2 linked regions of the Cricetulus griseus genome follow. Each later gene encodes a partner of the first gene's protein in a complex. Links are inferred from orthologs where the notes say so. Each region holds a gene or a part of one and is shown on either strand. Other genes may lie near its edges.

What was found.
Region 2: Arpc4 (region 1) and Arpc3 share a complex: the UniProt entries of both Homo sapiens proteins name them as parts of the arp2/3 complex. The link is inferred for Cricetulus griseus from reciprocal best matches to the Homo sapiens genes ARPC4 and ARPC3.

Annotation. Positions count from the first base shown.
Region 1 is NC_048601.1:31,418,163-31,422,314, forward strand, and holds the start of Arpc4 (actin-related protein 2/3 complex subunit 4), read right to left. Parts: upstream 2,864-4,152; 5' UTR 2,770-2,863; coding exon 2,764-2,769; intron 1,898-2,763; coding exon 1,779-1,897; intron 821-1,778; coding exon 709-820; intron 1-708. UniProt on the Homo sapiens protein: Actin-binding component of the Arp2/3 complex, a multiprotein complex that mediates actin polymerization upon stimulation by nucleation-promoting factor (NPF).
Region 2 is NC_048597.1:102,226,616-102,230,265, reverse strand, and holds part of Arpc3 (actin-related protein 2/3 complex subunit 3), read right to left. Parts: intron 1,675-3,650; coding exon 1,575-1,674; intron 1-1,574. UniProt on the Homo sapiens protein: Component of the Arp2/3 complex, a multiprotein complex that mediates actin polymerization upon stimulation by nucleation-promoting factor (NPF).

The sequences.
Region 1 (4,152 bases):
CTGAAGATGGATAAAAGACTAGAAGTAGGTCCTTCAACTATAAAACTACTAGAGAAAATGCACAAAGAAAACACTATGACATTTGTCTGGGCAATTACTGTTAAAACAGATCTTCAGTTCTGATAGTTTTGCCAGTGTTCTTGTTGGCATTTTTCTTTCATGATGTTATCATCCCACCCACTGCTAGCCTACACAGCTGTTTCTGAAAGACAAGCTAGAATGGATGGTCTGCTCCTTTTTTGCTGTTGCTGAGAATTCCATATGTGCATGTGTGTTGTACCATCTGTTTTTAAATGAAATGGCAGTGTCAGAAACTATGGCTATCAAACCAGTGCTGGTTGATAGTGCTCTAAGTGCACACAACCATCACCTATGTCCTTGCCGGCTGCATTTCCCTGTTTGTAATCCAGAGCCAGGGCTATGGGATAGTGTTGTTGCAGTTTTATTCCACTGACCCAGTTTTTGTTTTGTTTGTTTTTTCAGATAGGGACTCACCAAGTAGCCCAGACAGACTGGTCTTGGGTTTTCCATCTTCAGTCTCAGACTTCCATGGGCTAGGATTACACGCATGTGCAACCATATCTGCTCTGGCCAATCATGCCAAGTAAATTCCTGAAAGCAGGCTCTGAATCTAGCTCACCGACCTTTCAGAAGGGATCCCTGGCTGTGAAGAGCGCTCCTAACTGTGCCCTCTCCATGGTGACTCACCTGTTTCACAGCAATGCTGACCCGGACAGAATTGATGGAGCCCTCAATCAGAACCTTTTCCTTCTCATTCCTGCTGATAGTAACAGGTTGCAATAGGAGTTCTTTGCTACTCCTAAAAACACAAAATCAGAGGACCAAGCTGATGCCATTGACTTTCTAGGTATCTGTAAAGGTCACCACTTGAAAACCATGTATATCAAGTAACAACACAGTCCATCCTAACGTTAGAATTGTTTGAGTCACAGCAATCATTTTGGGGATATGGCTCAGCTGTAGACTGTGTGCCTAACATGCCCAAGGGCCTAGATTCAATCCCCAGCAATAAAAATACCTTCATTACCTATTTGGTAACACAACTTATTTCAACTATGTTCATCCCAGATTTTCCCCCCTTTGCTTCCTTTTTTTTTTTTTCTTCTTGAGACAGGGTTTCTCTGTATTGCTTTGGAGCCTGTCCTGGAACTTACTCTGTAGACCAGACTGGCTTCAAACTCACAGAGATCCACCTGCCTCTGCCTCCTGAGTGCTGGGATTAAAGCTGTGCACCACAACAGCCAGCTTCTTTTGGTTTCGTGAGAAAAGACCTGTTCTGTAGCTACGGCTATCCCCGACCCTGTGGTTCTATTGCTATTGCCTCAGCCTCCATGTGCTGGGATCAGTAGTCTCGCATATCCTTGCCAGGTGAAATTTCAAAAAGGAAAAATATTTATTTACTTATGAAATGAAAGCCAGACAAGACAAAACTGCATTCAAAACATGGAATATTTGGGTGTTAGAGGGTCTAAACTGTCTGGCACTATTAATGAGATAAAAAGTAAAAAAAAAGTCCTGATCCTTAAATCATTAATACAGAGATGTCAACTCTAGGAACTAAAGCCTGTGCCTTCTTCTGGAGCTGCCAGTGGCCTCAGTAATGCTACCGGAGACACTTCTCCACAGCGCTACTCCAGGGGCCACACTTTGGGCTATGTAGGTCTTCCATGGGTTTTGGCCTGTCAACATGGCCCCTTTAGACAGGGTCTGCTCTTGTGAGTTGTTCTCCTCAGCCCCATTCTGACCCTCTTCCCTACCTGACTTCCACCTCTGGCTTGTTGTGTCGTTCCACGACCTGGGAGGAGAAGTTCTCCAGACAGAGGGCAGCCTGCAGTGTGGCCCGCACGGCACTAAGGTAGGGGCGGAGAGTGGCAGTCTGCAGGAATAAACCCAAGATTAGGAAGGACCAGAGTCTACCACACCAAAGCCATTATCCCCCTGCCCCCGCCAAAGCTCCTATGGAACACACAATACTGAAAGCTTCAGGCGTGGTCATCACACAGAACAGAACACACCCAGCCTTCAAGATACAGCCCAGTCGGGAGTCTGCAGCAGTGGTTCCCAGCAGCAAACAATTCTACTTGGCATTTAGCAAAATTTGGAGAAAAAAAACTGTTATGACTTGGGGGCTGGGTGGGGACTATGGACGTAAGTCATGCCACCCAACATCTGGGATGCACAAGAATTACCCAGCCCCAAAAGCCACAGTGATGAGGCTGGGTGATACTGATCTAGATGGGTCCACGCCCTCCACCTGCTTCCTACATGGACAAATGTATTGATCCATGCCCTGAGCACACTGGGAATTCAGTCAGATAACTTCTGCTCTCAAATAACTCAACTGGATGAGATCACAAGGACTAATGGAAGGCAAAATGTAAAATTAACTAGGTTTATAAATAATCCATACTACGGAAATTAGTATGGACTAGACACAAGATCAGGAAGGTGTTTGTTTTGTTTTGTGAGACAGGGTTTCTCTGTGTAGCTTTGGAGCCTATCCTGGCACTCGCTCTGGAGACCAGGCTAGCCTCGAACTCACAGAGATCCGCCTGCCTCTGCCTCCCGAGTGCTGGGATTAAAGGCGTGCGCCATTAACGCCCGGCCTTCGAAGGGTTTACAATGAGAAAAAGTAGACCTGGGACATTCTCTGTAGCAGACAAGGTCAGCTTAATGATCAGCTACATTATTTCTCAAGTTATCTCTGTCTCCCCTCAGGGCCTATCACATGCTGGCCATCACCTGCATTCTTTCCTCCTCATTGCTTAGGTCAGTCCGTCAGAGCTCAGCTCACTGAAAAGGCCTCTTCCTTCCTCAAAGTGGTCTTCTTGACTTCCTCCTCAGTGCATTTACCAGAGTTTATGATATGTACACTTTACCATAATTCACAACAAGACATTCTTCATGTATTTTCTTAAATTGGTTCTCCTTCACTAGCTTGTAATTCTCATGGTCAACACACATTAACTTTATTCAGTTATGCTGGTTGCAACTAGCTCAGTACTTCCTATACATAGCATTTTACAAATTTCCTGTAGAGTGAACAAATGAACCGCGAGAAGCATTTTAAACTGCATAGACCAGGCTGCAATGGCAGGCTGGGATAAAAACCCTAGACAATCTAGAATGCCAGTTCACTGAGTTAGCCTTTCTCTCAATGTGGCAGGAAGCATTGGGACTTTCTGAGGAGGAAGTTACATGACTTCAGCAGAGGCTCTCTGGAGAATGGAATGGAGGGAAGTGAGACTCAGAAGAGGCACTGAGTACAGACTGGAGTGGAGAAAGCACAGCATCACAGGGGACAGCCAGACGTTAGACAGAGGAGGGAAAGGCTAAAAACACAACTAAGTTTGCACGTAGCCCGGTGCATTATGTTTTCTCTACACACTAGAGAATTCTATTTATATGTTAACCAAAAAAAGGCAAAACCGGAAGGGTGAAATTAGTAGTTGTCTGGGGTAGAGTGTACCCTTGGAAGAGTGATAGAATGTTCTCTACCTTCATTGAAGTAATGGTTATCTGATTATTTTGTTAATAGTCAAAGTAAGAAAACTAAAAGTGAATTCTAGGTGGCTAGTCCTGTGATGTCTGCCCTTTAGTGAATAGAAGGATCTCAAGTGCAAAAAAACTTAAATGCTTAAAAATGAAAAGCTACATCCTCAGTCAAAGGGATACGGCTTTCAGGCTGAGGAATGAAACCAGTTAGGGCATGGAACGCAGGAGAATGAACAAGTTTAGAAAAAGCATGTGACTTTTGAACAAGAGGGTCTAATTTCAAGGTGTCTCTCCAGAGTCGAGTCACAGGAGCATGGCAAGCAGTCCGGCATTTAGAACTGAGGTCATCAAAGCCAGCATGACCGGGGAAAGCAGTAGGAAGAGAGATGCAACAGTACGGAACACCCACAGACACCAAACCCGAAAAAACCTGGAAGGGAAGGGCCAGCGGTCATCAGCGCTTACACACATTAAGGTCAACACCGTACCGCACTACGAGGAAGGAGCCTGAATGGAGGCAACACCACAGAACCTTCATTGAGGCCTGGAAGCAAGGGGTGGAAGGGATCGAGAGTAATAAGGAGGAGTGGACACTTGCCTTGGGGTACCGTGAGATCGAGAAGACAGGCGGGGACA
Region 2 (3,650 bases), on another chromosome or scaffold:
AAACACGTGGTGGCTCGCCCAATCTATTGAATTTATTTATGTTTCAACCAGCACTGAAAACAAATTCACCTAACAGGAGGTCAAGGTGAACGAATCATCTGGCAGAGGAAGGGCAAAGGGACGAGGACACAGCTGGGAATTGTAACTGGTCTTGGAAACTGTGTCTGGAATTCGAGCCAGACATTTGCAGGCTCTGGGGTGCTGTGTCTGAGACAACAGAAATGACACCAACACCGAGCGGAACATCTCGGAACATGTCAGAAAGCTTCAGGTTTGAAAAGGGGCTTCTGGGCCTGGTGTTGGCAGCGACACATATCTTTAATCCCAGCATTGGGAGACAGAGCGAGTTCCAGGCCAGCCAGGGCTGCATAAAGAAACCCTGTCTCAAAAAAGAAAAGAAAAAAACCACAAACCAAACAAACAAACAACAAAAAACACTAGAAGTACAAAAAGAAAATTCAGAAAAACAAAAGCAAGAATAGAAATGAACAGGGTTTCAAAGCATAGGGAAGAGTTAGGATTGAAGCATGGGACACACGCCTGTTACCCCAGCACTAGGGAAGCAGGCGGAGGGTCATACTAACTGAGGTTAGCTTGGTTTCACTTCCATGCCCACCAGAGTTTCTACCTCTTCTGACATATCCCCCAAAAAAGGTCTAACACTGGGGTTTGGTGAAAAATAAAGACCCTAAGACTAAGAAACAGACAAAGGGGTGGACCATGGAGATAGCTCAGAGGGTAAAAGCACTTGCAGAGAAAGCTGAGTTGGGAGCCCCAAGACTGATGTCAGAACCCGAAGTGGTTTATAATCTCACCTCCACCTGTGTGCTGGGGCACATGCAGACCCTCACATACAAACAAGTACACAGCCTAAAGCAAACGACTTTTTTAAAAGTTGACAAGAGCAGTAATAGCTGTAATGGGCAAGGGTTCATTTTTCTTGTTTTGGAGATAGGTCTCCCTGTGTTGCTTAGGCTAGTCTTGAACTACCAGACTCCAGCTACCCCCTATCTCAGCCTCCTGGGTACAGCACCGTGCCCATATAATACTTTTTGTTGCTTGTCTTTTTCCAGTATGATGACAAAAGAAGGCTGAGGACCTGGCATTCAGTTAGTCTAACCTGACTGACAGTGACTGTGGGGACTGCGGCCAGAATTGAACACATTTCCTCTTTCCCTTTTTTGAGACAAGGTTTCATGTAGCCCAAGTTGGCCTGGAACTAGCTGAGGATGACTTTGAACTTCTGCTCTTCCTGCCTCCACCTCCCAAGTGCTAGGATTACAGGTGTGCGCTACAACACCTGGCTCACAGTGAACTGGGCGGAACCGACACTCTCCTGCTGCATGCTAGGCAAGGTCTCTACCTACAGAGCTGCACCCCCAGCCCACATTTCCTCTTCTGGCTCACCCACACACCCTGAAAGAGTGTGAAGGGACAGCGCAACTGTGATGTCTCAAGATGTAGAGTGTAACACACAGCAGAGGGAAAGTGACCCTGCTGTGCTCTTCCTTCATCTCATGTCAGAGGCTGGCTGGACGTTCTGCACCCAAATGGAAAAGAACACAGGGACTCACTCTCTCGAGGGGCAGGTCCTTTGAACTGACTTCTGATGGGCAACAGCGCCATGTTGCCGATGAGCTTCGTGTCAGGGTCCATGAGGGAAGAATGGTAAGCCTGAAGTGGCAAGCCAGGGAACAAAGAGAAAGAGAACCAGTGTCACCCGGTGAAAACACCCAGCAAGACCACCTTTGGGAGGAGAGGGGTGGCAGCAGCAATGGGACTAGGCAGCAGATTCTGAGACATTCTGTCAGCTGGTTGTTTAGCACAGCCATGTCCCCAAACTAAATCAGATATGCAAAAGAGGTAATTAGCACCAATGAGATCACCATTTTAAAATTACATTTTACCATTGCCTATGTCCTTATTTTTTTTCTTTCCAAGACAGGGTCTTGCTATGTATGTAGCCCCAGATGTCCTGGAACTTGTTACAAAGACTAGGCTGGCCTAGAATTAATAGAGATCTACCTGTCTCTGTCTCCTGAGTGCTGAGATTAAATGTGTGCACCACCATAGGCTTTACTGTTTTTTTTTTTTTTTTTTTTTTTTTTGTGTGTGTGTGTGTGTGTGTGTTTTGTTTGTTTATTGTTGTTGCTTTGCTTTTGAGACAGAGTTTCCCTGTGTAGCTGCGGCTGTCCTGGAACTCACTCTGTAGATCAGACTGTCCTGGAACTCACAGAGATCTGCCTGCTTCTGCCTCCTGAGTGCTAAGCCTGTGCCACTACATCTGGCTTTACTATCTATGTTCTTTCTTTCTTCCTTTTTTTTTTTTTTTTTGGTTTTTCCGAGACAGGGTTTCCCTGTGGCTTTGGAGGCTGTCCTGGAACTAGCTCTTGTAGACCAGGCTGGTCTCGAACTCACAGAGATCCACCTGCCTCTGCCTCCCAAGTGCTGGGATTAAAGGCGTGCGCCACCACCGCCCGGCCTTTCTTCCTTTTTTTGAAAAAGCAATTTATTTAATCTTATTTCACATGTACTGGTGTTTTTGCCTGCATTCATGTCTGTGTTAAGGTGTCAGACCCCCTAGAACTGGAGTTACAGACAGGTGTGAGCTGTCTTGTGGTTTCCGGGAATCCAACTGGGGCCCTCTGGAAGTTCGGTCAGTGCTCTTAACAGCTGAGTCATCTCTCCAGCCCGCTGCCTATGTACTTAACATTCTCTTCTATCTTATTACTATTTTGTATGTTTGTCTTCATGGATCTGGGGGCACATGTGTGTAGGCATACATGTGTTTGTGTGCAGAGGTCAGAAGTCAGTGTCAGGTGTCTTCCTCAATGTGTCCCCACCTTTGTATCTGAGACAGGGGCTCTCACTGAAACTGAAGCTCATCTACTGGCTCCATGGCCAGCAAACAAACCCAGAGACCCTCCTGTTTTCCTCTGCAGCACTAGGTTTATAGGGTTTGCTGCCATGACTGGCTACTGTTGTGGAGTCCTTATGTTAGAGTGGCAAGCACTTGGCCAATTGAATCTTCCTTCTCCCCAGCACCAGCTCTTTTGGAGACAGGGATTCACTCAGCAGCCCTGTCAGGCCTGGGACTCCTTAGGTAGACCAAGCAGACCTCAAGTTTACAGTGGTCAGTTTGCCTCTGCCTCCTGGGATTATATCCTTAGGCTAGAAATGTGGTATGTGAGGATGTGTTTCCTTCTGGTGGGAGCATTCCACAAAAGAAACCACACAAAACAGGTTTCCCATCCTCCAGCTAGCCAGGACCCAAGCCCTAGTTTTGAAATCTGCCACTTCCTCTATCTGTCTCCAATCAAGACTGCATGACTCTTCCTTGAGCCTGTTTCCCCACCCCCACCCCTTCAACCTCTCACTATGTGGGTGAGGACGGACTCTGAGGGCATCTTCCCATCTCTACCTCCCCAGTGCCTGTGCTGCGATGATAGGTCTAGATAACCACAGTACTGGTTTCAGGCACATGAGGCAAGTGCTCTACCAGCTAAACTCTACCGCAATTCCCACTAGCCTCTTTCTAAGCTTGTGAAAGGAGTAAGATACACCACACCTCTGGTGAGTAGGTATGAGCTAAAGGACAGGGAAAGTCGTACTGATGAACAACTTCACATGCTGGTTCCTGGTTTTGCTTT